Linked DNA regions of Cricetulus griseus. Each later gene encodes a partner of the first gene's protein in a complex. Links are inferred from orthologs where the notes say so. Each region holds a gene or a part of one and is shown in the gene's direction. Other genes may lie near its edges.

Region 1 (9,489 bases):
GCAAAACACCAATAAAATAAATAATTTTAAAAAAAGGCTCCGCTAGGCAGTGGTGGCGCATGCCTTTAGTCCCAGCACTCGGGAGGCAGAGGAAGGCGGATCTCTGTGAGTTGGAGACCAGCCTGGTCTACAAGAGCTAATTCCAGGACAGCCTCCAAAGCCACAGACAAACCCTGTCTTGAAAAACCGAAAAACAAACAAAAACAACAAAAATAGTCGATATGTAGAAAACAGGCTAGTTGAATTAGCCAGGGCTCCTGTGCTGCTTTGCCCAAGATCCCTGTGGCACAGACGAAGCAGTCTTGCTCCTGAGTAGAACCTCCTCAGTAGAATGAGTGCCCAAAATGCATGAGGGTATCTACTTCCACATGTCCTGATTAGTGATAACTTCGTGCTCAGTGCCTGGGATGCTGACACCCCCCTAGTTGTCTATTGCAGAGTTGGGTCTGGTTTCAGGAAATCCAACGAAGAAGCTCGACTAGTACAGAGAGCCTTGAGAGCCGAAGACTCTCAATTGGGGTTTCCAATTGTATGTGGATGAGAAATCTCTAGAACCCAGGAGTTCAGCTCAGCAGGTGCCACATTTCACCAACTGCTACACCTGAGCAGGTCTCCACACCGGAGTCGGGGCTGTCAGGTTTTAATGGTGCCTATGCAGGTCTCCCATTGAGTGGACCGGATGGAAGAAGGGCAGTGGAACCCCCACTCTCCCATACTCCGGGGAGCACCAAGCCTCAGCATCCATATCTGACAATAGACCTGCCAAAGATTCAGAGTTTAGTCACTTCTGTAGTTCGTTTGTTGCAATTACATACATACACACACACACACACACACACACACACACACACACACACGTATGTGCATGGACTGGCACATACAAGCTCTGTACACACACACAGGGACATAGGTGTGCATCTAAATACAGGCAAGTGGGCTGTAGCATGTCTCCCACAGTTACCTACATTAGCATATCCAGGCACACAGGAATAAACAGCAATGAGCCCACACAAAGCACTGCAAAATAAACAGGAACACCTGTACCTGTAAGGCAAGCATAGGATGCTGGGGTGCAGCTCAGGAGTAAAGTATGTGTCTAGCATGCACGAATCCCTAGATTTGATCCCCACCATGGGCACAGGGCACCAATGCACATACACACATTGCATACATAGTCAATTAAACAGGTGTGTAAGGGCACATGTACTCAAAAAGCTACTACCAGGTGAACACATACATGCCCGTATACAGGCTCAAGTCATTACTTGGTCCTAGTAAGGAACAGAAAGACACACCCAGGCATGTATTTCAGACTCATCCTGCAGAAGGTATGTAGAGACCATGTTCGGGGTCACATTTAGCCCTGAGTGTGAGGCAAATATAAAGTCACCTATTGCCTTGTAGTTTCCAGCAGGCACAGAACCCTCTGATCCAGAGGGTTCACACTTGTGAACCACTGCTAAACATGTGACCCTGTGCTCCTCCTAACCAGTAAAATGGGGCTGTGGTTTGGGCAACACCTTCCCCCACGTTCCATGTAAGCTCACAGAAGAGTGGTCATGAACACAGTCTTGCGGGCAAGCAGGAGGTCATCTACTGCTTCTCCTTCAGTATTCCCCTGCCGGCCCCAGCCCCAGTTCTACTTCTGGGACTAAAGGGTCTTTCCCCTCAACTATACCAAGAAACTCCTACAGGACAAGGCATGGACTCTTCGGGTCTCTTCTGGAGAATTGGAGGAGGCAGAGGGGTGCGGAGTCAGCAGTCGAAGGATTGGGGCCTTGCCAGCCTGATTAAAAGGCTAGGAGACTGAGCTTCACCTGTCCTTGTCTCTGATTGGCCCTTGGGCATTGCTAGCTCCCAAATCCCACTAAGCAATCCCACCAGGGCCTGTACAGGTCCGTGGAGAGCCAGTTGATTGCCAGCTTTAGGGCCAAAAGGTTGTCTGAGGAGGCCAAAGGCTGCCTACCCTGTCCCTTTGCCTGCTGCTGGGACCATGGGGGCTGGGGCCAGTGCTGAGGAGAAGCATTCCAGAGAGCTAGAGAAGAAGCTAAAAGAAGATGCTGAAAAGGATGCTCGAACCGTGAAGCTGCTGCTGCTGGGTAAGGTGCTGTCCAGTGATGGGGAGGGGACTGCTGAGGGTCAGCAGCCTGGGGCTGGGCAAGCAGCCTTTCTATGGAGCAAGGATTCCTTGGGGGTGGGTGGGAATGACAATGTGGTGTGGCAGGGCTCAGGTGGGACAGGGCACCCCCACCCCCACACCCCCACCCCTGCTACGTCTGACAGGTGGTGATGGCTCAGTCTCCCAAGGTTAGGCATCCTATGGCAATTTCCTGTGGACACTCTTCTTTCTGCAGAAGTGAGTGTCAAACACCTTTGAATAAATGTGTGCATTCAGCCACACTTGTCCTAAAGGTATAGCCTTTGGTTTTCTGGGCCTGCTCAACAAGGCTCAGGTCTTTTTGGCGGCCCTTTCTCCCCTGAGAATAAGAAGCCTCTAAGGCCACTCATGTCCACAAAAGCACTAGGTGGCAGAATTTTATCTTTGGTGAAACAGCTAAAGAAAGAGGAACGATGCCAAGCAGTGGTGGCACACGCCTTTAATCTCGGCATTTGAGAGGCAGATGCAGGCGGATCTTTGAGTCTGAGGCCAGCTTGGGCTACACAGCAAGTTCTAAAATATCCAGGGCTACACAGAGAAACCCAGGTGGGGTGGAGGCAGGAGAGAAAGTGGAAAGATATTGTCACCTACAAGAATAAATAAAGCCCATGATCCCATGGGTAGTGAGGAGAGATGTGGTACTGCCATTGCTTAACCCCCAGGGGAAAGTTGCTAGTTTAGGGGGCAGGCAGAGGTACTAAGCCAGGGCCCCCTGGAGAAAGGCCAAGAAGCTAAGCCGGAAATCCCATTAATTATATCCAACACCCTTGAGGAGGGCAGGCTCAGGAAGGATGTCAGCTCTGTCCTCTTCCTCATCTAAGGGTGCTAATTCCCTCTGAGCCTCTCAGAGACATCTCTTTAGTCTGTAGGTGAAAAGCAGAGGTTGGTCCCATTCAGATAATCCTGTGCATACAGTACTGGAAATATCCACAAGGTGGCCCTAGAGGTTTCCTTATTTTGATATTGCAGCATAATAAAGGCTCTATATACCAGAATCTTGGGGCCCGTCCTGTGCCCGCACAGTTAAGATCACATAACTAATGTTAAGTCCCTTTTGTTATTTACAACCATTTCCCCCCAGGGGTCTTCAAGACTTTACTTTGGATGGAAATGAGAGCGAGTCTATCTAGAGTTCTAGCTAGCACCCCAGGGCTCTGATCCACAGGAAGTGGTCAGTGCTGGTCAGTGCTGCTCTGAGTCACAGCTTCCCTTCCAGGTGCTGGTGAATCCGGGAAGAGCACCATTGTCAAGCAGATGAAGTGAGTGAGTGTTCCCTGCCCCTAGCCCCTAGCTATAGCCCTTCCCTGCTGGCCCAGGAAGCTCTGACTCTACGGGTTTGGGCTGTAGGATTATCCACCAGGATGGTTATTCACTGGAAGAATGCCTCGAGTTCATAGCCATCATCTATGGCAACACTCTGCAGTCCATCCTGGCCATCGTTCGGGCTATGACGACGCTCAACATTCAGTATGGAGATTCGGCCCGACAGGTGAGGCAGGCTGATACCACTCCCTAGGGGCTCTGGGCACCCGGCTAGGCTCAGGTTCCCAACCACTACCTTGCCCTACCATCAGGATGATGCCCGGAAGCTGATGCACATGGCGGATACCATCGAGGAAGGCACAATGCCTAAGGAGATGTCTGACATCATTCAGCGCTTGTGGAAAGACTCGGGTATCCAAGCTTGCTTTGAGCGAGCCTCCGAGTACCAGCTCAACGACTCTGCTGGCTAGTGAGTGCACAAGTGCATGCTGGGAGCAGAGGAGGTGGGTGGGCAGGACCCAGCCCGGGGGGCTCTCCCACACCACTCCCCCTCATGCTCACTCACCCACTTCCTCAGCTATCTTTCAGACCTAGAGCGCCTGGTGACTCCAGGATATGTGCCCACTGAGCAGGACGTGCTGCGTTCTCGTGTCAAAACCACTGGCATCATCGAGACGCAGTTCTCTTTCAAGGACCTCAACTTCAGGTGAGGGCCCTGCACGGCACGCTTGTTGAGCTGGCCTGCCCGGAGAGGGAAGGCCCTACCCCGGCCAAGAGAAAGGCTGGTCACCCCAGATGCCACTTCCTAAGAGGGCTCAGGAAGACAGGGGCTGCCGGTGGGCATGTCCAGGTGACCCGACACGGCTGGTTCTGTCCTGCAGAATGTTCGATGTGGGCGGGCAGCGTTCCGAGCGCAAAAAGTGGATCCACTGCTTCGAAGGTGTGACGTGCATCATTTTCATCGCGGCACTGAGCGCTTACGACATGGTGCTGGTGGAGGACGACGAAGTGGTGAGTGCCCAGTTAGGCCTGAGTGTTTGCCAAGGGAGGTGGAGCCCCGGGAGCCACTGAGGCTGTCTGGGAGCTGTTGGAGTGAGGAGGCGCTCAAGTCCCGGGAGCCCAGAGACCGAGGGCAGCTGCCTGCGTAGCCTGGTGCCCAACAGCCTGCTGCCTTCCCCAGAATCGGATGCACGAGAGCCTGCACCTGTTCAACAGCATCTGCAACCATCGCTACTTCGCCACCACGTCCATCGTGCTCTTCCTCAACAAGAAGGACGTTTTCTCCGAGAAGATCAAAAAGGCACACCTCAGCATCTGCTTTCCCGATTACGATGGTGAGCGTCCCTAGTCCCGGCCGCCAGGCGGCGCCCCAGCCCCACGATTCCCGCCGCGCAGCGCGCTCCTTCCCGCGGAAGGTCTTCCCGCGCAGAGCGAGTGCTGCCCTCTGCCGCAGGACCTAACACTTACGAGGATGCCGGCAACTACATCAAAGTGCAGTTCCTCGAGCTTAACATGCGGCGGGACGTGAAGGAGATCTATTCCCACATGACGTGCGCCACGGACACACAGAACGTCAAGTTTGTCTTTGACGCTGTCACCGACATTATCATCAAGGAGAACCTCAAAGACTGCGGGCTCTTCTGAGGTGGGGACCTAGCTAGCCAGACCTTCCACTGTCTTCCAACGTAATCTCAGGACCTCAACCCTGCCCCTAGTTCCTCCAGGCGTTCACTGCTCCAGACTGCCCCCCCTGCTGCCCAGGCTTTCAGGCTCCACCCACTACCAGAGGCCCCACCCACTACTCTCATTTATTTTGCTGCTCAAGGATGCTGAGGTTGCGTTCCCTTTTCTCTTCACAGATACCTGTATTCAATTATGTCCCTTGCTCCGAGACTCAGTAGCCCAGCTGCCCTGTAGTCCCCAATAACTCCTGTGCCTCAACCTCCGCTCCACTAGCCACACCCAAGCCCCGAGGCTTAAAGTGCAGACCCTCCCCCAATTCCCCAACCCCGCCCTGCCCTTCAACGCCTGGCTGCACTGGCCTCTTGGACCCACAGCAACTAGCCCCAACTAGGACAAGGCAGGACTTGGGACAGCTGGCGCTCACAGTGACTCAGCAGTGCCCAAGTGACCCGGTCTTCTGACGCCCTTCTGCCACCCCCACCAGCAGCAGCTCACCTGGCAGATCTCGGTTCAGCAAACAGCCCTCCCTGCCCTCCCCAGCTTTCATGAAGGGCTTGAGGTATCCCTCCCTCAAGCAGTCCTGCTGCTTGCCAGCAGGTCATTCCAGCCTGCTACCTGCATTTGACAAGCCCAACATCTGTCCACCCAGTGGTCAGTGACTGTCCCTCCCAGAAGCCCAAGGGATCCAAAGTCCAAGCTCTGGTCTAAGTAGGCTCACAGATAAATTAGTGACTTTGAGGTAGGTACCAGGGAGAGACACAAGCCAAACCCATCCCCAAGTACCAGTCTCAGGGCATCTCCCCGTCCCTTTCTCTCTCTGGGTCTTCCCCTCTGTCCTTGGACACTTCTGGACCCCACCTCCTCCACCCACACACAATACTGAGGGCTGGCTGATCAAGGTGTGGTGTATTGAAGGAGAGCACTATTGACATCAGCTCTGACCAATAATCAAGCTACGCTGAGGGGTGGCTGAGGGCAGAGTCCAACTCTATCGATCAACCATGGGCAAAGAATATCCCATGTGAGGTTCCAGTCGACTCCATGTGACTCTGCTGTCCCTCCGGATGTAGGGCCCCTTCCTGGAGAGAGTGAACTGAAAGTCATGCCTGAGCCATTAGAGACAATGTCCCACACCCCCAGCCACTCCTTTCTTCATCAAGCCGAAAGTCTTTACTTAAGCCTGTGGACCAGAGTCAGTGCTGCTGTTGTGGAGACACAGCGCTTCTGTCCAGCAAGGCTAGGGCGTCATCTGTACTTTCCCTTGGCTATGTTCACAGACTTAGCAATAAACCTTTGCAAAGGGTCTGCTGTCCTTTCTTGGGTCTGTGGGGGAAGCTTAGTTACCATGAGTCCTGGACATTTATTAAGTACTAGACGTCAGTGATGTAGGAAGATGACCCCTTGCAAGGTAAAGTGCCTGGCCTGACTTGGGCTCTGGAGATCTTGGAGGGGGTAATGGGTCCAACTCATGACCTTTGACCGAGACTGAAGGATATGGGAAATGTTAACCGGGGCAGCCTCAGATCAGCAGGGAGTTTTTTGTTTGTTTTATGAGACAGGGTCTTACTGGGTAGCCTAGGCTGGCTATGAACACCTGTACTCACACCCCCACACAGATACACACACCTGTACTATACACACACCTGTACTCACCTCCACACACCCCCACACAGATACACACGCACACAATCATAATCAATAACAAAATAGCCTTAAAAAACCCGGGGGACTGGAGAGAGATGGCTCAACACTTACAAGCCTTAGCTGCTAGCACAATTTTAATCCCAGCACTCTGGGAGGCAGAGGTTTGTGGATCTCTTAGTCCCAGGACAGCCAGGGCCACACAGAGAAACCCTGCCTCCAAATAAACAAACAAATAAATAACCGAAAACAAATAAAAATTTAATGTTAAAAAATAAATCAGGGGGCTGGAGAAATGGCTCAGAGGTTAAGATCACCGACCTCCTTCCAGAGGCCCTGAGTTCAATTCCCAGCAACCACATGGTGGCTCAAAACCATCCGTTATGAGATATGATGCCCTCTTCTGGTGTGCAGATATACACGGAAGCAGAATGTTGTATACATAATAAATAAATAAATAAATAAATAAATAAAATCTTTTTTAAAAAAATCAGGAACTGAGCATGGTGGCACATGCCTTTAATCTCAGCAGGCTGATTTCTGTGGGTTTGAGCCACCCTCGTCTACATGGCAAGTTCCAGGCCAACCAGGGATACATAAATGTGGGGGTTTTGTTGTTGTTTTCAAGACAGGGTTTCTCTGTGTAGCCCTGGCTATTCTGGAACTTGCTCTGTAAATCAGGCTGGTCTCAAACTCACAGAGATCATCCTGCCTCTGTCTCCTGAGGGCTAGGTTTAACGGCGTGCGCCACCAATGCCCAGCTTCAAATATTCTTTTACCACTCATAGTCCAGTATGGTGTCACACACCTTTAAAATCAGAATTAGGGCCAGTATGATGTCTCAGTAGGTAAACCACTTGCTGAACAAACCTGTTGCATCCCTAGAACCCACATAAAGACAGAAGATGAGAACTGACCCCACAAAGTTGTCCTCTGACCTCCATGCACGCGCGCGCACGCACACACACACACACACACACACACACACACACACACACACACACACACACTAAAAATAAAACTTTTTCCAGGTGGTGGTCGGGAGGCAGAGGCAGGCAGATCTCTGTGAGTTTGAGACCAGCCTGGTCTACAAGAGCTAGTTCCAGGACAGCCTCCAAAGCCACAGAGAAACCCTATCTCAAAGAAAACAAAACAAAACAACAACAACAAAAAACTTTTAAAAAATTAAAATTAGCTGGGCGTTGGTGGCGCATGCCTTTAATCCCATCACTTGGGAGGCAGGGGCAGGCGGATCTCTGTGAGTTTGAGGCCAGCCTGGTCTCCAGAGCAAGCGCCAGGATAGGCTCCAAAGCTACACAGAGAAACCCTGTCTTGAAAAAAGCAAAAAAAACAAAAAAAAATAAAATTAATGCAAAAATTCACTGTGAACAAAATTATAAAAATTCAAGAAAGGCATGCCAAGATTTATTGGAGCCTGAAATATACAGAAAAATATCTATTCCTATATATGTTTTCTTTTTCTATTTTTCTTTTTTGGGTTTTTCAAGACAGAGTTTCTCTGTGTAACAGCGTAACAGCTTTGGCTGTCCTGGAACTCACTTTGTAAAACAGTCTGGTCTCAATGTCACAGATATCCACCTGCCTCTGCCTCCCGAGTGTTGGGATTAGAGGCATTCACCTCCATGGCGGTTTCTTTGGTTTTTGAGACAGGATGTACTATGTAGCCTAGGTTGACTTGGAACTAGCAATCCTGCCTCCACCTACTAAGTGCTGGGAATGCACCATGCCTGGATCTTCTTCTGTGAACACCCTTATTTTGTTCCTTGGCCTGGACATTGGACCCAGGGTCTTTTCCATGCTAAAGAATTCTCAGTCACCTCATGTTTTTTTGAGATGTGTATCTATATAGATACAGAACATTAAATAGTTTTAACTTTTTTAAAAAAAAAATCTGGTGTCAGGAGTGGGGACTCACATGTAGAACCCCATCACCTAAAGAGCAGAGCCAGGAAGGCCAGCCTGGTCTACATAGTTCCAGGCTAGCTTGGACTATAGAGTGAGAACTTATCTCAAAAACAAAAACAAAACAAAATCAATCAAATGAATAAAATTAAACTCAAAGGTAGTTGCATTATATGGGTCATTTTTGTCAGTGCTAGGCTTAGGCCCTAAGGACAATGTGCCCACTGTGTGAAGCCATAGCCCAAACATCATTGCTTTGTTTTGCTCTCTTCATTTTGGCCTTAGCTGGCACCCAGGCTAAGCAAGTGCTCTGTCACTGAGCTACATCCCACATTACTTGAATCTTAAATATTTTATTTCTACCCAAAACATGACTTATTTCCATTTTATTGCCATGTTTTAGTGGCAAGATGCAATGATATTTGTGAAATATACTTCACAAATTTAAAAAATCATTAAAGTTTTAAATGCTGAGTGTGGTCATTCATATAGGTAATCTCCAGCATGTCTGTGCAAGGCTCTGAATTAAATCCCCAGAAACACACACACACACACACACTTAAAAAGCAAACAAACATATTTTAGCAGGATTTGGCAGTGCATGCCTGGATAGTCAGTATTTGGGAAGATCAGGAGGTCAGGACCACTCAGGTCCATAGGGAACTTGAGGTCAGCCCAAAGCTTGGAGAGTCCGCCACAAAAAAAGATCAAAACAAGCTGAGCATAGCATTGATGATTTTGAAGGCAGCCTGGGCTTCCTAGTAAGTTCACGTCTAGATCACATGAAACCCTACTGAAAGAAACAGGGAAAGCCAAGTATG
Region 2 (9,523 bases), on another chromosome or scaffold:
AGCTGAAATTCCTCTTGTTAGTGTCCAAGAGAGCTGTCGTAGACAGTGGAGGGCGGGCTCTTACAGGGCAGAAAACCAGGGACATTTGGGGGTTAAGGACTGTGTCCCATCAATGTGGAGTAGCAAGCGTCCTAGTAAGCATCATTTTGGGGAACGGGGTTCTCCCAGCCATGAAGAGGCTGAGCCTGGAGTCACATGTTTTGGTATCCTAACTCCTCTGTTTGTACCACAGGATCCAGCGCTGCCTCCCTGTACCCTGTGCTCAACTTTCTGCTCTATGTGCCTGAGCTTGCCCACTCCCCTCTGTACATTCAGGACAAGGATGGGGCTCCAGTGGCCACCAATGCCTTCCACAGTCCCCGCTGGGGTGGCATTATGGTAATAGTCACTGTGACTTATCAGTTTGCACTGGAGGTCTGTGTCCACCCTAGTTAGCTCTTGGCTTCCCTGGGGGAGTCTTACAATGGTGGGGCCCTTCTCTCCTTTATCCTCTGGTCTGTGGGTAGGAATGCTAAAATAGGATAATTGCTTTGAATTTCATAGGACTTCCGAGGGGGCAATTAGTATAATGTACCGAAGCTTCTTTCGTACTTAAGTACATGGGTACTCAAAATTTAAAAGGGGGGTGCTGTGCCCCTGGATTTATAACCTGTGGATACCAGATGCCATAGCCTCCTTTTCTTTGATGGCCCCTGAATACTAAGCAGAAATATGCGTGGTCCTGTGTGGTATTGAGGTTATTTTGTTCCCCATTTTCAGATATACAACGTTGATCCCAAAATCTATAATGCCTCAGATCTGCCAGTGAAAGTTGAGGTGGACATGGTGCAGGTGATGGAGGTGTTCCTGGCTCAGTTGAAGTAAGGCCCTGCATGACCTCTTTGGGGCTATGCCCATGGATGGTGTGCCCATCGTCTCTTTGAATATAGGCGAGATATAGCGGAATGAAATGTTGCCTGGGGGACTGCTGTGGAGTGCTATGTCTGTGCCTAGACCCGAGAAAGACCAAGAAAAATTTGCAAGTGGTCCTTCTCCTAAGGAAGACAAGCACCTGGCAAAGCTTCCTTCAGAAAAATAGAAGCCAGCTTTCCATGTGTGATTAGGGGTGTCTAAGAGAATAACTGTTGTGCACACCTTTAATCTCAGCACCTGGAAGGCAGAGGCAGGCATATCTCTGTGAGTTCGTGGCTAGCCTAGTCTAGAGAGGGAGTTCAAGGACAGCTAGAGCTACAAAGAAAAACTCTGTCTCAAAAAAAAGAGAGAGAGAGCATGAGCAACTATTTTATTATTTTTGTTTTCTTTTGAGATAAGGTCTCATCTTTTTTAAATTTTTTATTTTATTTTTTACTTTATGTGTGTGGCTTTTTTGCCTGCCTGTATGCCTAGTGTCCACAGAGACCAGAAGAGAGCATTGGATCTTCTGGAACTGGAGTTACAGATGGTTGTAAGCCATCAGGTGGGTGCTGGCAGTCGAACCCAGCTCCTATGGAAGAGCAGCCAGTGAGCCATCCCTCCAGCTCCTTGTTTTGTTTTTGTTTTTAAGAAAATAGCTATTTATTTTGTGCTAACACATGAATTGAGGGCAGTCATCTGATGCTCTACATCGAAGATGCTAAGGTGGCTTCTGGGCTAATCAGGACTGTATTCTTGTAATTGGCAGTACCTTGAGGCACACATGTCTTGTCAAAGATGGGCCTGCCATCCCTGTCCCATGGAGTCCATTTATTCAAAGAAAGGGAGGGAACCGGACTAAGTTGGGGCTAAAGAAACACTTAAACCACAGCACCATTTTCAGACAAGATCTTGGAACTCCAGTGTGGAAATGGAAATATTTGGTCAAGGTGGGGTTTGGAAATCTGGGTTGTTTGCTGTTGCTACTCATCTTTCCAACTCTGTTGTTCTCAGTGAAACCAAAAGTGACTGGCTTAAGACAGAGACTATGGGAATCTTAGCTTTGGCACCCCTGTTCACAGCAACTTTGGTCTCCCGGTGCCATTTCCACAGGCTTCTCTTTGGGATTACTCAGCCCCAGGTGCCTCCAAAATGCCTGCTTTCAGGACCAAAGAGTGAAGGCCTCATGACTTGGGAGCTGGACCGATTGCTCTGGGCTCGGTCAGTGGAGAACCTGGCCACAGCCACCACCACCCTCACCTCCCTGGCCCAGCTTCTGGGCAAGATCAGCAACATTGTCATCAAGGATGATGTGGCATCTGAGGTAAATGGGCTAGGAAGGGATGGGCCAGGGTGCCTGTGAGCATGCCATCCATTAATAAATACATCAGGCTTCCTCTGGAAGCCATGCCAGCTCCCCATGGGAGTCTAGGTAGGAACAAATGAAAGTTTTAAGCTGACCCTCAAGAAAATAAACAACCCTTTTTGACTAACTTCCACATAGCTTGGGTGGACTCCAGGAAACTTCCCTGGGAGACAGAGGGTTCTAAAAGGCCAGCACTCTTCCCCTACCCCATGCCCAGGGCATATTGCTAACTCCTATCCCTTCACCTTCCTAGGTATATAGGGCTGTGGCTGCAGTCCAGAAGGCAGCAGAGGAGCTGGCCCTTGGGCACCTGTCATCTGCCTTTGTGGCCAGCCAGGAAGCTGTGACATCTTCTGAGCGTGCCTTTTTTGATCCCTCACTCCTCCACCTCTTGTATTTCCCTGATGACCAGAAATTTGCTATCTATATCCCACTTTTCCTGCCTATGGCTGTGCCCATCCTCCTGTCTCTGGTCAAGATCTTTCTGGAAACTCACAAGTCCTGGAAAAAGCCTGAGAAGGTAGACTGAGCTGGGTGGCATGTCAGAGGTAGACTTCTTGTCTGGCCAAGCTAGGAGTGTTGGGCCAAGACACCAAAGTGAGGTTTGATGGTTTGTCTTCATTCTTCTCTGTTGGCTCTCCACCAACCAAAGGATGATGCTCAACGATGGACTCATCCTCCCTTCCCTCCCTATCCCACTGGCTTGAACTTAAAGGCCTTTGCCTGTCTACCCCTGGGCAGTGGCACCTTGTCCTTCCAGCCTGTCAGCACAGCATACTATGGCACTGAGGGGTCGATTTAGGGGAAATCCTTGGGTTAAATTGTAGCCCCCTCCTCTCCACTTCTAAGACTTTCTCCCTCCTTCCTCTCCTTCCTGACTGGTATCACCCATTGGGTACAGCCTAGCCTGGTCTAGGAGGCAGTGGCTTAGGAACTGGTTCCCCTCTACCCTTTCAGAGAGGCAGTGTGGTATAGGAGGAAACACTTCTGACTTAGAATCCAATAGGCCTGGATTGGACCCCTGCTGCACTGAGGTACTGGAGAGCTTTAGATAAGCAGCGCTTCTCACTGAGCCACAGGTTTTCATCTGTCGGAAAGCATTAATGACGTCACTCTCAGAAGGGCATTGGATTAAATGTGATAAGCATATAAAAGTGTTGTGTATATTGGGCTCTTTAAAAATATGTATTAGGTTGTTAATAAACATTGGTTGAATATGAGTTGATATGACATATCATTATTTTCACTCATGTGTGAGAAGCAGTCTGATCTGCCCTGAGCTCACAGGTCTTCCATGTCCCACCTGACTGTGGAGTCTGGGAATGGCTAGACACCTGGGCTGTGATATTTGCATGTTGTAGGGTGCCTAAAGCTGTGAATATATGCTTCTGCTTTTGAGCAGGAATTCTAGGGAGGAATAGCTTGAGCCAGTGACAGCCCTGGGATATTAACTCATCAGTTCAACAAAGGGAAATCCTGGGTACTGGCTGCCAGGAGCACTGTGCTAGCACTGGGATGTTATAGAGAACAGAGTATAGAGTATGGTTGCTTTCATAGATCTGACCTTTGAGGAGCAAAGGTCAGGGCACAAATACAAATAATTTTGCCTAATGCATTAGAAAAAAAAACAACAGGCTGGTTAGCTGGAAACTGAGAGGAAGTACTTTAGAACTGGGTGGGTGTGGGAGGTTGAGACTTGAACTGGAATCAGTTCAAGGATGGAGCTATCAGGGAAAGACCTTGAGGCTGGAACCCAGAGAGAAAGAGAGGTATTCAGTATACCTTACATTGTCCAAAAGAACCGTGAAGTTCAAGAGGACCCCAGGATCCTGACTCTACCGGAGGGGGTGGGGGGGGCGGAGGGGGGGAGATGCCAGTCGGTGGGCGGGGCATGCATGACGCGCCCGCTATGGGCGTGGACAAGGCGGGACGGCACCTGGGGCCCGACCGGGGGTGGGGCGGCGGACTCTTCCCCCTTCCCCCGACTCCAGCCAGCTCAGGCAGCAGACGCGGTAGCAGCAGGCGAGGATCCGCCGCCCCGCGAGGCCATGAAGGTGAAGAAGGGCGGCGGCGGGACCGGGACGGGGGCGGAGCCCGCTCCAGGGGCCTCGAACCGGAGTGTGGAACCCACGCGGGAGCCTAGGGCAGAATCCGAGTCCGGGTCCGAGTCGGAGCCAGAACCAGGCCCGGGGCCCAGGGTGGGACCGCTGCAGGGCAAGCAGCCCATCGGGCCGGACGACGTGCTGGGGCTGCAGCGGATTACGGGCGGTGAGCACCGGCAAGGGAGCGCCACCCGCGGGCTGGAGGGAGAGCTCGGGAGGGGGCCCACGAGGCTCAGAGTCCGGCCCCCGCGCTCACCCTTCCCCCACGCAGTGCCCCTCCTCTGTGTCCCTTTACTCTCCCTTTGCCTCCAAGCCTGAGATTTCTGTTATTTTCCTTGGTGTCTTGGTGCGCCCCTCCTCTACATGTAGTAGGGCTTATTTTCACCTCCCTCCTTCCTTTTCAAGGGGCCCACCCCTTTTCCCATGGTAGAGGTGGGGCAGCAGTTGCATCTGAACCCTTTCCCCTGTGGACTCTTTGAAGCTGGTCACAGAGGAGTGTGCCGGACTGGCAGTCTCTTAAGCACCTATCCTCTGGCGAGGTGGAGTCGAGGAATACCTCCAGGGTCCCTCACCCTGCTTCCCCATTAGGGCTAGCGCCATACTCTTCCCAGGAACGTTACTGATCGGGTGCTTCAGTCTGTTGGCTTGTGGGCTGTGTCATGGAAACAAGTGTGTGATCCCAAGCCTGGACTGGCTGGTACTTGTTTTTTTAACCAGGGCTCTCTCATCAATGGAAGCCCATTTTCCACTGGAGCTGTTTCCAAGCTGTGCTGCCTGGACTAGAGTCCCACTTTTGCCCCATAATTGGTTGTGTGACCTTGGGGATGTAATTTCATTTCCAGAGGCATGTTTTTTCATCTGTAAAATGGGAACAATGTTACCTCCCTCAAGGTTATTGTGAAATAAAGCCTGTCTCCTGCTTTTCGACAATGCTTGGCATGCTATGCATGCTATGTCAACAGGGCTTTTTTATCAACACAGGACTTGGTTCAGAGCAGCTGTCTGCAGGCAGATAAGTGAGCATTCAGGGCAGAGGCAGGCGTCACTACAGATGGTGAACAGGACTAGAGAGTCTTCTGGCAGAAGGTTGGCTGAGCCTTGAGGAATGGAAGGTATTTGGAGAGAAAGTGGCACACTGCCTTGGAATGGGTGGGTCACCAGCAACCTGCTCCAGCTCCCTTTGTGAGCTAGCAGTCCCTTTCTATGGGATGGACACAAGTGCTAGAGTGGAACCTAAAGCCTGGATGGATCTGCAGGAGCAGCAGAGCTGAGGGCTCCCAGACAGCTGTGGAGACCAGGATGGCAGGCCTGAGCTTGTGCATCTGGGTCCCTAGGGGCCTCCCTCCTCCGTTCAGAGCTAGGCAGCAGCGGCAGATTCTTGGCTAGACCTCCCTTGGACAAGCAGGCATCAGTGGAGGGGGGAGGGGCCTGGACCAGGCTGGTGTGGAAGCCAGTGGGCTGCATTTTGTAACAGCAGCCCATACAGTTCAATTTAGCCCTATGGGTGGGGGGCAGGATCACCTGCCTCACTCCTGGATAACTGAAGGCTTATTTTGCAACGAAGGAAGCCTCCAGGTGAAGTCACAGCATGGGTCTCCCAGTCTGGAGGGAATTCATAGCTTGTAGAGGTTGAGCAAGGACAAGTGCCTTGTGAGAGCCCTTTCCTGTGTGGGATTTGAAAACAGGGTTCCAGGCCTCTCCACCTTGCCTGCTATCTTCTGACCCTAATCACATAGGTCTGAGGTTTGCTGTTCCTGGATTACCAGGCCCTGAATCCGGCTTAGGGAGCTATTTGTGGCTACAGGGAGAGCAATTGGCTTCTGAGCCATTACTCTGGACTGACCTTGGGTCCTAGGCCTCTTGTTTTGCAGAGGGGAGAGAGTGGCTGCAGTGTCCTGAGCCCTAGGCAGCCCCTGACCCTCACTCCCTGCTAGGGCAGAGGGGCTGACAGATTGAGTTTTCAGTGTAAGAGACTAAGGTCTGGGTGTGAGAAGTTGTTCCCAGGGAGAGGAGAGGCTCCCAAGCTGGACACAGGGTAAAAAGGGAGGTTTTTCCTGGGAGTTGGGCAGCTAGGATCCTGCTTCCAGGTTCTGCCCACCCTCCCTTCCCTCTGCAGCATCTTCTATAGCTGTGGGGCAGACCTTACTGAGCTGTGATGGATAGGTCAGAGCTCAGCACCCTCTAAAATTTTATATAGTTTCTGCCAAGCTCCAAGGTGCTAGAGGGCTGTCAGGAGGGCTTCCTGGAGGGGGCTGCCCTAGGGAAGAGAGAATGACTTTGTATTCACTTCCTCTTCCAACCACAAGAGGAATAGGAGGTGGCCCAGGGGTGACTTCCGGCCTCTGTAGGTCAGCAGGGAGGATGTGGTACCTTAACAGCACCCAAGCCTCCCTAGCATTTTCTGCTCCTTCCTGTTTCTTGCCAGGGCTTCCCCTAGGACTTGCTATTGCTGCCATGAGAACAGTAAGTTGTATGAAGCAGGAAGAACAGGAGTTCAAGGCTAGCATCTGCCACCTAGTGGGTTTGAGGGTTAGCCTAGGCTACATGAGACCCCCGGCTTAGGAATAGCAACAACTGAAGAGAGGTTAGGGTCAGACCATGAACTCCCTAGGCAATGCCTAGCTTTCCTGGTTTCCTTCTGAGCCCAGGACTCTCCTTGCCTCATTCATATCCTGCTGCTCCAACCACACTCTCTTCTGGCTTGGCCAGAGAGCACTTTATCCCTGAAGGTGGCTCGAGGCCAAGGCTGGAAAAATGACCTCTAAGGATTCCCTCTGTTTGCTAAGATGTCCTCCCATTGGGAGAGCAGCAGAGGATCTGTTGAGCAAAGTTGGCCTCTTCTTCCCCAGTAGCCTGGCTCTGAGCTTAGTCAGCAGAGCTAGCATAAGCTGCTTATGTGGGAGGAGGGCGGGGAGCAAGAGAATAGGGAAGGGGTACCAACCTGCCTCCAAAATACCCATGCAAGGGGAAGTCTCCTCAAGATCAGCCTTGCCTGATGCATCTATGTCATGCCACAGGGTGTGTACTGGGGATGGGACACACTTCAAGGAAGAACTATAGCAGCCTTCCTTCAAGAGGCAGAGCTGCACGCTCCCTTTGGAGTGAGGTCCCCCACACAGGAGGTACACTTGTCCAAAGGATGCCTGCCAGTTTGACAGAGCAGAGGCTGAAATAAGGGTCCCCAAAATAGAGGTGGGAGGAAAGGTTTGGTAGAGGTAACCTCCCTTGCCTGATCCTGTGAGGCCACTAGGATGGGACTGTTAATCCCTGACAATGTCCTCATAACAGAATTCTGTCCCCTGCAGTGTGGAAACTTCTCCCAAATGGTCACAGTTTTCTTTCTGGAGGTTAGTGGCCAGTGGGATCAGAGTGAGCCTTGGGGTCCCACAGAAACTAAATTGACAGTGGTGTTTGGGGTCCCTGTTTGCTCACCTGCCTGTCTCCCCTAGACTACCTGTGCTCCCCGGAAGAAAATATCTACAAGATTGACTTCGTCAGATTCAAGATCCGGGACATGGACTCAGGCACTGTCCTCTTTGAAATCAAGAAGCCCCCTGTCTCAGGTGAGTAGGCTAGGTGGGCCACTGACAGGAAAAGGTGGGCAAACACAGTAGAATGGGCTCTCTAGGTTTCTCGAGTATCAGAGGGCCAGAACAGAGTCTAGACTTGGACCACAACATACTCAGGTGACCGTAGGCAGACAGGCCTCTTTTTCTGCTACTGTTTCTCAGGGTGGACATCTTGGGAGCATAGTCCCATTTAGTATTGGCCAGCCTGCCCTCTGCTGGCCTCCCTGAAAACTACAGTCCCAAAGACCTCCCATGATCCTATGTACATCCCGTGGCTCTGGGAACCCCTGAAAATTGATGATTTGTTGACACAGAGCCCTCTAGGTACCACCATTCAACCAAAGTGTACCAGAATCTTCTGGAGAGTTTGGAAAAATTCAAACAGTCCCTTGGGGGAGGGTGGAGGAGGCAAGGGCCCCAGCCTGAAGCCCACTGAGCCCAGCTGGGGTACATTGCAGAACGGTTGCCCATCAACCGGCGGGACCTGGACCCCAATGCAGGGCGCTTTGTTCGCTACCAGTTCACACCTGCCTTCCTTCGCCTAAGGCAGGTGGGAGCCACGTGAGTCACTGGGCTGGGGTGAGGGCTGGGGGTGAGTGCGAGGGTGGGAACAGCCCTTCCAGAGCCTCTCACTAGTGGTCTGCCTGGAGCCTGGTCCCTTGGTTGGCTGGCTGGTTGGCATGGAGGCTGCTCTCAGCCCTGCCCCCTTGTCTTAACTCAGGGTGGAGTTCACAGTGGGAGACAAGCCAGTCAACAACTTCCGCATGATCGAGAGGCACTACTTCCGGAACCAGCTGCTCAAAAGCTTCGACTTCCACTTTGGCTTCTGCATCCCCAGCAGCAAGAACACCTGTGAACACATCTATGACTTCCCGCCTCTGTCTGAGGAGCTAAGTGAGTGGGGATGTGTAGAGTCCAAGTGCGGGGGTGGGGTACAAGTGTGGTACCTGTACACCTAGTCCCCTTTCACCCATCCTGGGTCACCTCCCTACCCGGCACCACTCCCATCACCAGGAGGCAAACAGGCTCAGGGAAGCTGAGGAACTCTCTGAAGTGTTTCATCTGTCCCAGTCCTGAAGTCCTTAAAGTGCCATGGCTCAGGTTCCTGACCTTTGCCCTGGCTGGGCCTCTCTTGCAGTCAGCGAGATGATTCGTCACCCATATGAGACACAGTCCGACAGCTTCTACTTCGTGGATGACCGGCTCGTGATGCACAATAAAGCAGACTATTCCTACAGCGGGACACCCTGACCCCCACGCTGCCCCTGCCTATGAGGCTCTGGCCTAGCCCTTGTGCTGTGACCTCTCCAACATCATCTCAACTTGGGACCGGCTCCAGTGGCTCTGGACCCTGAGTCAGTGTTGGGAGGAAGGGTGCCCAGCATCCCTAGGCCAAGCCTCTGAAGCTCATGGGGCCTGCTTGACACATGGGGAAGGGCAATCGGGGAGACTGTTTGCCACTATGTTCTGGAAGGCCTCCTGGAAGCAGAGGACTTCTGGATACCTCCTTGGTCCACTGGGCCTGAGTTTCAGAATAGTGTTCCCTTCTTGAGGCTGTGACTAGATCAGGTTAGGGATCCATTCCCTATCCCCTG
Region 3 (9,652 bases), on another chromosome or scaffold:
TTGAGGCCAGCCTGGTCTACCAAGTGAGTTCCAGGACACTGAGAAACCCTGCTTTGAAAAACAAAAACACACCAATGGAACTGGAGAGATAGCTCAGCCATTTAGAATATGTACTCCTCAGGCTGGAGGGATGGCTCAGAGGTTAAGAGCACTGGCTGCTCTTCCAGAGGTCCTGAGTTCAATTCCCAGCACCCACATGGTGGCTCACAACCAACCATAATGAGATCTGGTGCCCCTTCTGACATGCAGGCATACATACAGGCAGAACACTGTATACATAATAAAAAACAAACAAAACAACAGCAAAAAAAAAAAAGGCTAATAAAAAAAGAATATATACTCAAAGACTTGGGTTTGGCTCCCCAGCAGCCACATTGGGCAGCAAAGGCCTGTAACTCCAGCTCCAGGGGATCCAACATGCTCTCCTGGCCTCCAATAGCAACTGCATGCACTTTCCTCCCGACCAGTCACGCTTACATGCACAGAATTAAAAATAAATCTCAAGAGTGGTGAATTACAAAGGGGCACTGCTATAAGTCAGGACTGTGCTGTCCGTGCCTCGGCGCGCCTTCCGGTACTCTGCACTCCGGCCTCGTTTTCCGCTGCCTCAAACACCTCTGAGTATTTGGGCAACTGGATGGGTTCAGACACAGGTGCCAGGCTGGCACCTCGCGAGGGCTGTACTTACCCTCCTTCCTTCTCTTCTTGTTACTGAGCGGCTTTCTCATCTCCTGTCGGCTCCGCATAATCTCTCGGAGCCGGAAAGGAATTTCTTGCTCATCCTGGTTCTTGGGCTTGCAATTCACTTTCTTCTTTTCCGTGCTGGAAAGATAAGCCAGGGGTGAGACCCTTCCCTAGTACAACAAGCAGAACAAAGTAAAGACGACGCCTGTAACGCTGCGGTGCAGGTGCTCTCCTCGCCCTTGCCGAGCATGCAGAGGCAAAGGGCGCTACGAAAGCCCCGGCACACGGCCTCAGAGCTCCCGGGAGACTGGAGACACTCACTGCGTGCACATGGCTGAGCGTGCGCCCGGGCTGGCCGCACCCACCTGCGCCGTCCCGGCCATGCTGCCGAGCGCTGCTGTCCCCGCGGCGGCTCCTGCCGTCGAGCGTGCGTCTGTCCGGGGCCTCTAAGCCCCGCAGACCCGGCTTTTGCCACTGCTGCGCGCCCAGGTCTCGCCATCGTTACTCCAGGAGCTCCGCGCACGAAGCCATTTCCGCCCTCTTGCAAGACCCCGCCCCATGAGCATCACTTCCGCTTCCTGCGCGCCTTCCCTGCTCCGTTGTCCCCCGCGTCGGCCCCAGCCATGGGGCTAATGCTGCAGAGCCTGTCCCGGGGAGGCCGGGTGGGAGCTGCGCTCTGCCGCTGGGCAAGTACTCGCGGGCCAGCGGGCCGGGGTGTCCCAGATCCGGGAGGCCTGCTCACTGAGGTTTCTTCAGGTTTGCGCCCCAGACGAGTTAGTGGGCAAGGGCACTGCAAGAGTTTAGTGACCAGGGTCGCGGGTGAGCATCAGACCCCAGGGTCTCTGAGGCGCTAGAGACGGAGAATGGGGTGACCCTATATCCTTTGAGCTTCTCCCGTGAAGGGATGGAAGGAGGATAGCCAGCATGGTCAGGGGAGGCGTGCTGAGTTAAAACCGGCTGGCTCTGTGGCCTTCCCCCCGTCCTGTCCAGGATCAGTCATGTGTCTAGTCGTCTGATCCAGAGCTGCTCCTCCTGCAGTCGTCTGGAGCTCAGGCCCCAGTGCCTGACACTGAACCCTCAGGCCCTTAGCAAGTTTCTTCTCATACCAACCAACCTGCCCATTTCCCAGATAGGGAAACAGTATACAGAAGTGAGCTATAATAACTTGTCTACAGTCCTGCAGGAAGTGAGGAGGCCGAGAAGGATGTTGAGCTGCCGGTCCAGTGCTAGGAAGGCTGAACATTACCCCTGTGCCTTACCAGCTTCCGGAAGAGTCACACTGAGTATCCCATTTTCGCAGGGGACACAGCAGTTCTCCAGCTGGGATTGCGGCCAGGGTCTTCCCCGAGGAAGACACGGTGTTCTTCACAGACACCATGCTCCGGTGCAAGCCACTGCTAGCTGCCGATCGTTGGGGATGGACCACAGGGAGGAAGGTGGTTTCCAAGCAGGTACAGAGGATAACAGGGAGCCAAAGGCCTCCCTGCCCCCTGAGAACCTCATGAGACCCCCGTACTCTCTGCCACCCGAGCTCCAGCCTCCCACAAACTGCTGCCTGAGCGGCTGTCCTAACTGTGTGTGGGTAAATTACGCAGAAGCTCTGCTGAGGCACTACCAGGATGGTGGGCAGCAGGCCCTGGCCATCCTTGAGGAGCATGTGACTGACGAGAACCTCAAGGCCTTCCTCAGAATGGAGATCCGCCTCAGAATGCAAAGTGGAGGCTGAGGCAGTGAGCAGAAGCAATCCCTGAGAAGCATCGGGGCCACTTTTGTTCTTGTGCAGCAACTTCACCTCCTAATAAATTCCCTGTGACAACCCAATCGTGTTGTCCCTCTGCCTGTGTTGTCAGATAAAGCATACATCGGCTAGCTGTGTGTCCCTGCTCAGCAGCCAGCTTTCCTCACCGGTGAAGATAAACCAAAACCCCTGTCTCCCTGAATACCCTGTGGCAGGAGCACCTCCAGGCCCCAGTGTAGCTGGGATGTCCTGCTGACCGTAAACTCTGGTTCCCCATCTGTGTGATAAATGAGAACCGTCACGTGGGAGGGGCCTAGCTGCTCCCTGTCTCCTGCTGGGTCCTGGGGAGATGTTCTTTCTTCCAAGTAGTAGTGTAGGGTCATCCCTTAGAGTTGTGAGCACTGCTAGAAACCAAAGCAGTTGGAGCATCAAGTTCCAGAACTAGCAAGGGCTGAGCTTAAATGTATCTGTTCCACTTACTTTGTTTAAGGGGAAAGCTAGGCTTGTAGAGTGACTTCCTGTTGGGTTTGAGCTGATAGGGCTTTTTCCATGTTTGGTGTCTTACACAGACCTGTGACAAAACCAACACCACAGAGTAGGGGCACTTTCTATTGGGTGACAGGTCACAGTTCAGGCTGACCTCTTGGCCAGATGATACGTGCCTTCCAAAGTACTCAGCAGAGGCTGGGCCCAGATAAACATGACAATGGTCTCAGACATTTGTGTAGCTACTTAATCTGGATTGAAACATGCCCTCCTGAAAAGAGGTTCAAAAGATAGTTGGTTTTCCAGACAGAGTTTCTCAGCCTTGGCTGTCCTGGAACACCTGGAACTCACAGAGATCTGCCTGCCTCTGCCTCCCGGGTGTTGGGATTAAAGGAGTGCGCCATACCTAGCGCAGGTAGACAATTGTTCCCATCTCCAGGAAATGTTAACACCAGTGGGTCCTACAAAAATCAGAATTTCCAGCATTTGACAATTGTGGCAAAGGCCAGTAAGGCCATGCAGTATGAGATGCCCTCCAAAAAAAGTCATTGGCCAGCCCTTTGCAGTACGCCCAGGTCTGCTTCTAGGTGTGTGGCACTCAAGTTCTCGGACTCTACCGCACTGGCCTGCATCTTATTTTGCCTCTGTTAAGGCGGAAGCTTCACCCCAATAGCTGATATCCATACACCCAAAGAGTCTGGGATGTTAGCCCCCTCCCCCATCTCCCTCCAAACCCTGCTGCATCTCAGAAAGCCCACCAAATGATGGCGCCTCCCCCAGAGATACTCAAGACCACTCCCACAGGGTATTTAAACTGTCCCCCAGAGAACAGACTTGTGGTTTTTCTGGTCTCACTTTCCCATCTCCTGTCTGGGGGGCTGGAAGCCCATTCGGGAGCGCTGTATCCATTAAACGTGGATTACTGCATCATCGGAGAGGTTTATCAGGGTGTAGAAACTTTTCAGCCTCCATCAGTTTAATCCCCAGGTACTTATGCCACCAAGCATCTGTGAAATACCCCATAGTGGTCCAGACACTAGCAGTATAACATGCCTCCCCCAGAAGCAGGCAGATCTCCATGAGTTCAAGGCCAGCCTGGTCTCCAGAGCGAGTGCCAGGATAGGCTCCAAAGCTACACAGAGAAACCCTGTCTCGAAAAACAAAAACATGAATAAATGAATAACATGTCTCCTCTTACTACTTCAGTGCAAAAGACAAAGGTTAACAGAAGAGTCATGCAGAGTTGGCTGTGTTGGCTCATGCTAGTAATTCCAATACTTGGGGGCAGAGGAGGACAAGGAGTTCAAGACCATCCTTTGCTGCATGACAGATTGGATGTGGGAAGTTTTATTGGGGGAAGGCAAGGGGAGGTAGGGGAAGGGAAGGGAGTGAGGGGAGAGAGAGAGAGAGAGAGGGAGAGAGAGAGAGAGAGAGAGAGAGAGAGAGAGAGAGAGAGGCAAAAACCTGCTTGCCTCTTCTGAGGAACAGTAAGAAAGAGCATAAGACCATATTTTTTTAAAAACATTTTATTTATTTATTATGTATACAACATTCTGCTTCCATGTATATCTGCACACCAGAAGAGGGCACCAGATCTCATTACAGATGGTTGTGAGCCACCATGTGGTTGCTGGGAATTGAACTCAGGACCTCTGGAAGAACAGTCAGTGCTCTTAACCTCTGAGCCATCCCTCCAGCCCCATAAGACCATATTTTTAAAAAGAAAAGAAAAACAAAAAGCTAATCTTATCCAAACATACAAATGAGTGTAAAGAAGGAAAAAAAGCTGAACTGAAATATGTGTTCTACCCTAGCCTGAGGGGCTCTAAGACACTGAGGCAGAGCTCTAGAGGCCCCAGAGGAGGAAGCTAGAGGAAACGTGGACTACATAGAGTAGCAGGGTTGGAATGCGTCGTGTTGGGGGTGGGGGGGGGCTGCCACATAGAGCATCAAGGTCCACAGACAGGTTTCTCCATGGATGGAACAGAAAGGGAGGGTCGCCCAACCAAGAGCTGTCTAGAAGGTGGCCCTGTTGTTTCTGGAGCTTTACTCCCACAGCTGGTGAATATCATACTCCGCCTCCCCTTGGATGTTCTTCCTTCAGGCCCTTGTCTGCACCTGAACCCCTTCTGACCGCCCCCAGCAGCCCAGTGGCTCCCTCAAGGCCCAGCAATCTCATTCGTGTAGCGTCAGAAGAGAGAGACATAATCGGCTCACCAGCAGGAGGATAAGTTCCTAGGTCCAGCCGACGGGACCCTGTGGCTCCCTGAGACCTGCCCAGTGCTTGGTGAGTAGTGACCCATTTTGTTGCCCTTTCCAACAGCCAGGTGTCTGCTCATTCAGAGCTGGGGTCGGGGGACATCAACAGGCTTTTACCGTCTCTACTGAGCTCTGAGTCTTTAGAAGCTGGTCCCCTATCCCTGTCCTGCCAGCCACCTCCTCTGCTTCTCCTCAATGTCAAATGTCCATTACCAAGGCCAGCCACCTGTTCGTACAACTGAATGGAACTAGCTTCAGTCTGGGCTAGGCTTCTCAGGCATGGTTTCCATGGAAACAGCACCGATCACTGGAGCTCTGTCGGGGGTGGCCTTTGGTTTGAGAAGTGTTTTACCACTGGGAAGTAAGGGATGGGTGCTTCAGGACTGAGCGGCCTGAGTGTAGTAATTATAAAAAGCAGCACGAGAGAGAAAGACACCACGCAACAGAGCTCACGTGGAGAAGTTTTTAATTAGGGGGAAGTGAATGAGAGAAGGGGGGAAGGGAGTGGGAGGACCAGGCTCTGGGGGCAGGAGCAGCAGAAGAGAAGAGAGTGGAGAGAGAAGCAGAGAAGCAGAGAGGCAGAGAGAGAGAGAGAGAGAGAGAGAGAGAGGAACAGAGAGAGAAAAAGGAACACAGAGAAGGATGGGAGGCGGGCAGGGCTCTTTTAAAAGGGAACACAGTGAATGTGCACAGGTGGTGCTCTTAGTGGCTGCAGCTGAGGGTGAATCCTGTCAGAACCCCAAGGGCAGGCCGGTGCAGACGCCTGAATACCAACACTGAGTCCTGGTCCCTGAGGTTGGTGCTGGCTGGCTTCAGGGACAAAGGCTGAACCTAGGAAGGGTGGGGGGAGCCACTGAGATTGACGTGGACGTTGACTACAACAGACTCATCCTTGTCTGCTGACTAGTCTCAGCCCCAATGTTCCAGCAGACCACTGACAGTGGCTTAAGGCTGGATCAGCGCTACACCACATAGGACTGAGGGCAGAGAGGGGCCTCTCCGAGGTAGTCCCTTGAACACCTCAGGGTCGGGGCGGCACCTCCTGTGTGGGCCACCTGTATTCAGCAGCATGTGAGGGTTATGCAGCTTCCTAGAAACTCTGGGAGATTAGGAGTCTCCTTGAGGCACTAATAGGATTACAGAAAACTGTGCTGTCCTTGGCAAAGTCACAGGGGCTTAGTGCTCTTAGGGAGAGGAGGAGGGGCCATCCTGTATAGTGTGTTCTAGGTTGTGGCCTGATGCAGGGCAGCAGAGTCCTCAGGTGATGTCTAACCAAGAAAAATCTCCAAGCCAGTGAGCCAGTGAGCAGCCTAAGGGAAGAATCCCAGGGTAACTGCCCTCCCTGAGACCTGCTTCTGGCTTGGCCCTTGGAAACAGAGCCCTGAAAGTGAGGGGCACCCAACAGGCCCCTTCTATTTTGTGGGGCATTATTCATTAGCACCAAGTCCAACCCCAAGGGACAGATAATAAGTGGAACCAACAAGTACATAAATAAGAACAAACAGACTTAAGGGGGCATGTAAATAAATGAGGAATTTAGCCAGAATGTGATATGAAAGCTGGGTGTTGGTGGCGCACGCCTTTAGTCCCAGCACTCGGGAGGCAGAGGCAGGCGGATCTCTGTGAGTTCAAAACCAGCCTGATCTACAAGAGCTAGTTCCAGGACAGCCTCCAAAGCCACAGAGAAACCCTGTTTCCAAAAAATAAAAAGAATGAGGTATGAAGAAATAAATTAGGACCTGGGAATATAGAATGACATGACGTAGAGTCAGAGGAGGCCTTCCTGAGAAGGGACCTGCCACCAGTGACAGCAGCCAGGGACTGATCACTTGGAAGAGATGGTGAGAGGCTGTGGGAATCGCTTGCAGGATCAAGAGGGGGCATCCTATGTTTACCATCCCAGGAGTCCTCAGAAGGCTTTCCACAGAGTGACATGGCTAGGTCAGATCCCAGGGGATGAGAGGGAGGGTGCAGGGATCAAGGGTGTTCAAGGAGAGATAGTAAAAAGCCCTGGTTTGCGACATGGTGGTGGTGGTGCAGCAAAAAGATTGTGTTTGATGTGAGTTAGGAGTATTGAATGGGCACAAGGGAGCTCAAGGGAGCTCATGAGTTGCCTGTGGCTGATAGCAGCGGGAGGTGCCTGATGGTGCCAGGAGGAGAGAGAATACTGGGAAGTGGGGGGGGGAGTAGGGTGGCAGGGTGGTTTCCTGCAGTGGAGACAACTGTCTCAGGGTGGCTCCTGGGTGTCAGGCCCTCAGCTCCTAAGGTTGGATGGGAAGAGCAAGAGCTAATGGGATTCCATCTGTCTGGTCTACCCCAGCCTGCATGAGGAGGCCAGCCCAGCCTGACCGAGTCCAGAAGCTAAGGGTCACTGCAGTGTCTCTGCCACCCTCACCATGAACCTGGAGCCACCCAAGGCTGAGATCCGGTCGGCCACTCGGGTGATGGGAGGACCAGTTACCCCCAGGAAAGGACCACCTAAGTTTAAGCAACGGCAAACCAGGCAGTTCAAGAGCAAGCCTCCCAAGAAAGGCGTCCAAGGGTAAGCAAACAGCAGAGGGGAACCTTTCACAGAAGGAACGCTGTTCCCAGGCTTCATGGGAGGACAAGGTTCCTTGCAGCAGTTTGTCTTCGTTCTGATGAATGGGGACTCAGGAGTTGGTTTTGGGGGAACCAGGGGCCCATTATTTACACCAGGTGCTGCAGCCAGGCAGGTCTGGAAAGCAGACTGCCTGAATCTCCTCAGGGATGTGTGTGTGCCCCACCATTCACCTGTGCACACACAGATACCTACATGTGAACACCTACAGACATTACCTTAGCCAGCTTTCTGTTGTTATGAGAAAATAACGGGACACGAATACAGTTTATATAGCTTTATATAGAGAGGATTTGTAGTGTGCACGGTTTTGGAGACTGAGAGTTCCAGGAAGGGTGGTCTCAGCCGATTGGACTCTGGTAAAGACCCTGTGGCTATATTACAACCTAGAGGGCAGTGTCATGGCAGGAGAGCTGTAAAGGAGACATCGTATGTAGTCAGAGAAAACAGAGCAGGGTGGTGGTGGCGCACGCCTTTGATCCCAGCACTCGGGAGGCAGAGGCAGGAGGATCTCTGTGAGTTCAAGGTCAGCCCAGTCTACAAAGCTACACAGAGAAACCCTGTCTACACAGAGAAACATAGAAAGCAGAGTAGCCAGCCTTTCCCTTACAGCCACCTCATCTGTAGAGTTGTAACCCTGTCCTGTGAGGACAGCAGCATCAATCCACGGTCATGTTTCCTTGTGATGCAATCACGCTCTACTTGGGACCCCTCTTAAAGAGCCACCACCTCTCAATATTGTTGCACACTGGAGACTAGTTTGTCTGTCAGGGACACACCACAGCTGGCACATTGAGACACACATGGCACCCTCACACTCACTCACACGCTCCACGTCACACTCCTGCAGAGACGCACAGCCCATACCCACCCAGACAACACTGTGTCGGTGCCAGCCCGTGTGTACCTGGGCTCATGCTTCCTTTCCTGGTCCTTGGCCTGTGGAAATCTGGGAAGCACACTAGTCCCATGTTGGTAAAAGAGAGCTCAGACCCTGCCCAGTAGCAGATGTTGGGGAGGAAGTCTGGTATGCAAGGGTGGCTAGATCTAGACCTGGAGACATCATCCTTGACCAATCTGTCCTTGCAGGTTTGGGGATGACATTCCTGGAATGGAAGGCTTGGGAACAGGTATGACGACTCAGGGTTGTTGCATGTGGGTAGCTCTCCCGAGTCCCTGCATCCCTCAGATACACTTCCACAGGTCCCAGGTTCCTCTCTACTGCCCGGCCTGCCTCCCATCCTGTTCCTATTTCTCTCCCAGCATCAGGCTTCAGATCCCACTGAGAGGGGTGGTCCCCATGGGGTAGGTTCACTAGCCACAGAAGAAACTTTTGCTGCTCCTTCCAACTTTGGGCTAGGGTCCCTTCAGCTTCCCATGTGGGTCTTCCACTTTCTTCTCAACTGGAGGCAGGACCCAGTAGATGGACAAAGTTGATGCTTCCTGCCTAGGAGGAAGATTTGCCATCAGAGTTTAGACTTGAAACCTAGGCAGGCATGGCTTTTATGTGGGGAGTGAAAAGAAAGGGAACAGGGAATGGGTTGGTCCCAGGGCCATGGAGTCCTCTTTAATCACACCTTTCCTACAGACATCACTGTCATCTGTCCTTGGGAGGCCTTCAACCACCTGGAGCTGCATGAGCTGGCCCAGTACGGCATCATTTAGTCAATCCCTGCTATGTGAGGCCTGTGGAAGAGGCCTGCTGAAGATCCACTCCACCCCACCACCCTCTGTAAGCCCTGTCCAGGACCCCTTCCCAAAGCCAAGCCTGAGTCCCTAGCTAGGTTGCCCCTGGCCTCCAGGTGGGACAGCTTCATCCCCTGATACCAGCTACCAAGAGCCATCAGCCTCCCACAGGACACTCTGCTGACCTGAAGTCACTGGTC

What was found.
Region 2: the proteins of Gnat1 (region 1) and Unc119 are in contact, whole or in part, in a crystal structure (PDB 3RBQ), measured with the Homo sapiens proteins. The link is inferred for Cricetulus griseus from reciprocal best matches to the Homo sapiens genes GNAT1 and UNC119. Residues at the interface, in NP_000163.2 of Homo sapiens: Gly2, Ala3, Gly4, Ala5, Ser6, Ala7, Glu8; in NP_005139.1 of Homo sapiens: Asp87, Phe88, Val89, Arg90, Phe91, Ile105, Lys106, Lys107, Gly126, Arg127, Phe128, Val129, Tyr131, Phe137, Val147, Glu163, Leu172, Ser218, Tyr220, Asn230.
Region 3: the proteins of Gnat1 (region 1) and Pde6g are in contact, whole or in part, in a cryo-EM structure (PDB 7JSN), measured with the Bos taurus proteins. The link is inferred for Cricetulus griseus from reciprocal best matches to the Homo sapiens genes GNAT1 and PDE6G. Residues at the interface, in NP_851365.1 of Bos taurus: Ser140, Arg201, Arg204, Lys205, Trp207, Ile208, Phe211, Asp227, Val229, Glu235, Val236, Asn237, His240, Glu241, His244, Leu245, Ser248, Ile249, Ile281, Phe283, Glu305, Leu306, Met308; in NP_776846.1 of Bos taurus: Arg36, Gln37, Phe38, Lys39, Ser40, Lys41, Pro42, Pro43, Lys45, Leu60, Val66, Ile67, Cys68, Pro69, Trp70, Glu71, Phe73, Asn74, His75, Leu76, Glu77, Leu78.

What each region holds. Positions count from the first base shown.
Region 1 is NC_048597.1:215,856,537-215,866,025, reverse strand, and holds Gnat1 (guanine nucleotide-binding protein G(t) subunit alpha-1), read left to right. Parts: upstream 1-3,135; 5' UTR 3,136-3,412; coding exon 3,413-3,417; intron 3,418-3,505; coding exon 3,506-3,647; intron 3,648-3,732; coding exon 3,733-3,890; intron 3,891-3,998; coding exon 3,999-4,127; intron 4,128-4,302; coding exon 4,303-4,432; intron 4,433-4,601; coding exon 4,602-4,755; intron 4,756-4,874; coding exon 4,875-5,065; 3' UTR 5,066-6,407; downstream 6,408-9,489. UniProt on the Homo sapiens protein: Functions as a signal transducer for the rod photoreceptor RHO. Required for normal RHO-mediated light perception by the retina.
Region 2 is NC_048600.1:91,726,519-91,736,041, forward strand, and holds the start of Unc119 (protein unc-119 homolog A), read left to right. Parts: upstream 1-4,191; 5' UTR 4,192-4,305; coding exon 4,306-4,525; intron 4,526-5,340; exon of another isoform or gene 5,341-5,464; coding exon of another isoform or gene 5,465-5,471; intron 5,472-7,808; coding exon 7,809-7,922; intron 7,923-8,386; coding exon 8,387-8,489; intron 8,490-8,649; coding exon 8,650-8,822; intron 8,823-9,066; coding exon 9,067-9,179; 3' UTR 9,180-9,523. Other genes in the region: Pigs (GPI transamidase component PIG-S), read left to right, coding at 233-378, 760-860, 2,005-2,215, 2,511-2,786. UniProt on the Homo sapiens protein: Involved in synaptic functions in photoreceptor cells, the signal transduction in immune cells as a Src family kinase activator, endosome recycling, the uptake of bacteria and endocytosis, protein trafficking in sensory neurons and as lipid-binding chaperone with specificity for a diverse subset of myristoylated proteins.
Region 3 is NC_048600.1:132,941,245-132,950,896, reverse strand, and holds the start of Pde6g (retinal rod rhodopsin-sensitive cGMP 3',5'-cyclic phosphodiesterase subunit gamma), read left to right. Parts: upstream 1-4,872; 5' UTR 4,873-5,195; intron 5,196-7,487; 5' UTR 7,488-7,563; coding exon 7,564-7,709; intron 7,710-8,855; coding exon 8,856-8,896; intron 8,897-9,354; coding exon 9,355-9,431; 3' UTR 9,432-9,652. Other genes in the region: Ccdc137 (coiled-coil domain-containing protein 137), read right to left, coding at 689-822, 1,050-1,183; Oxld1 (oxidoreductase-like domain-containing protein 1), read left to right, coding at 1,308-1,503, 1,860-2,410.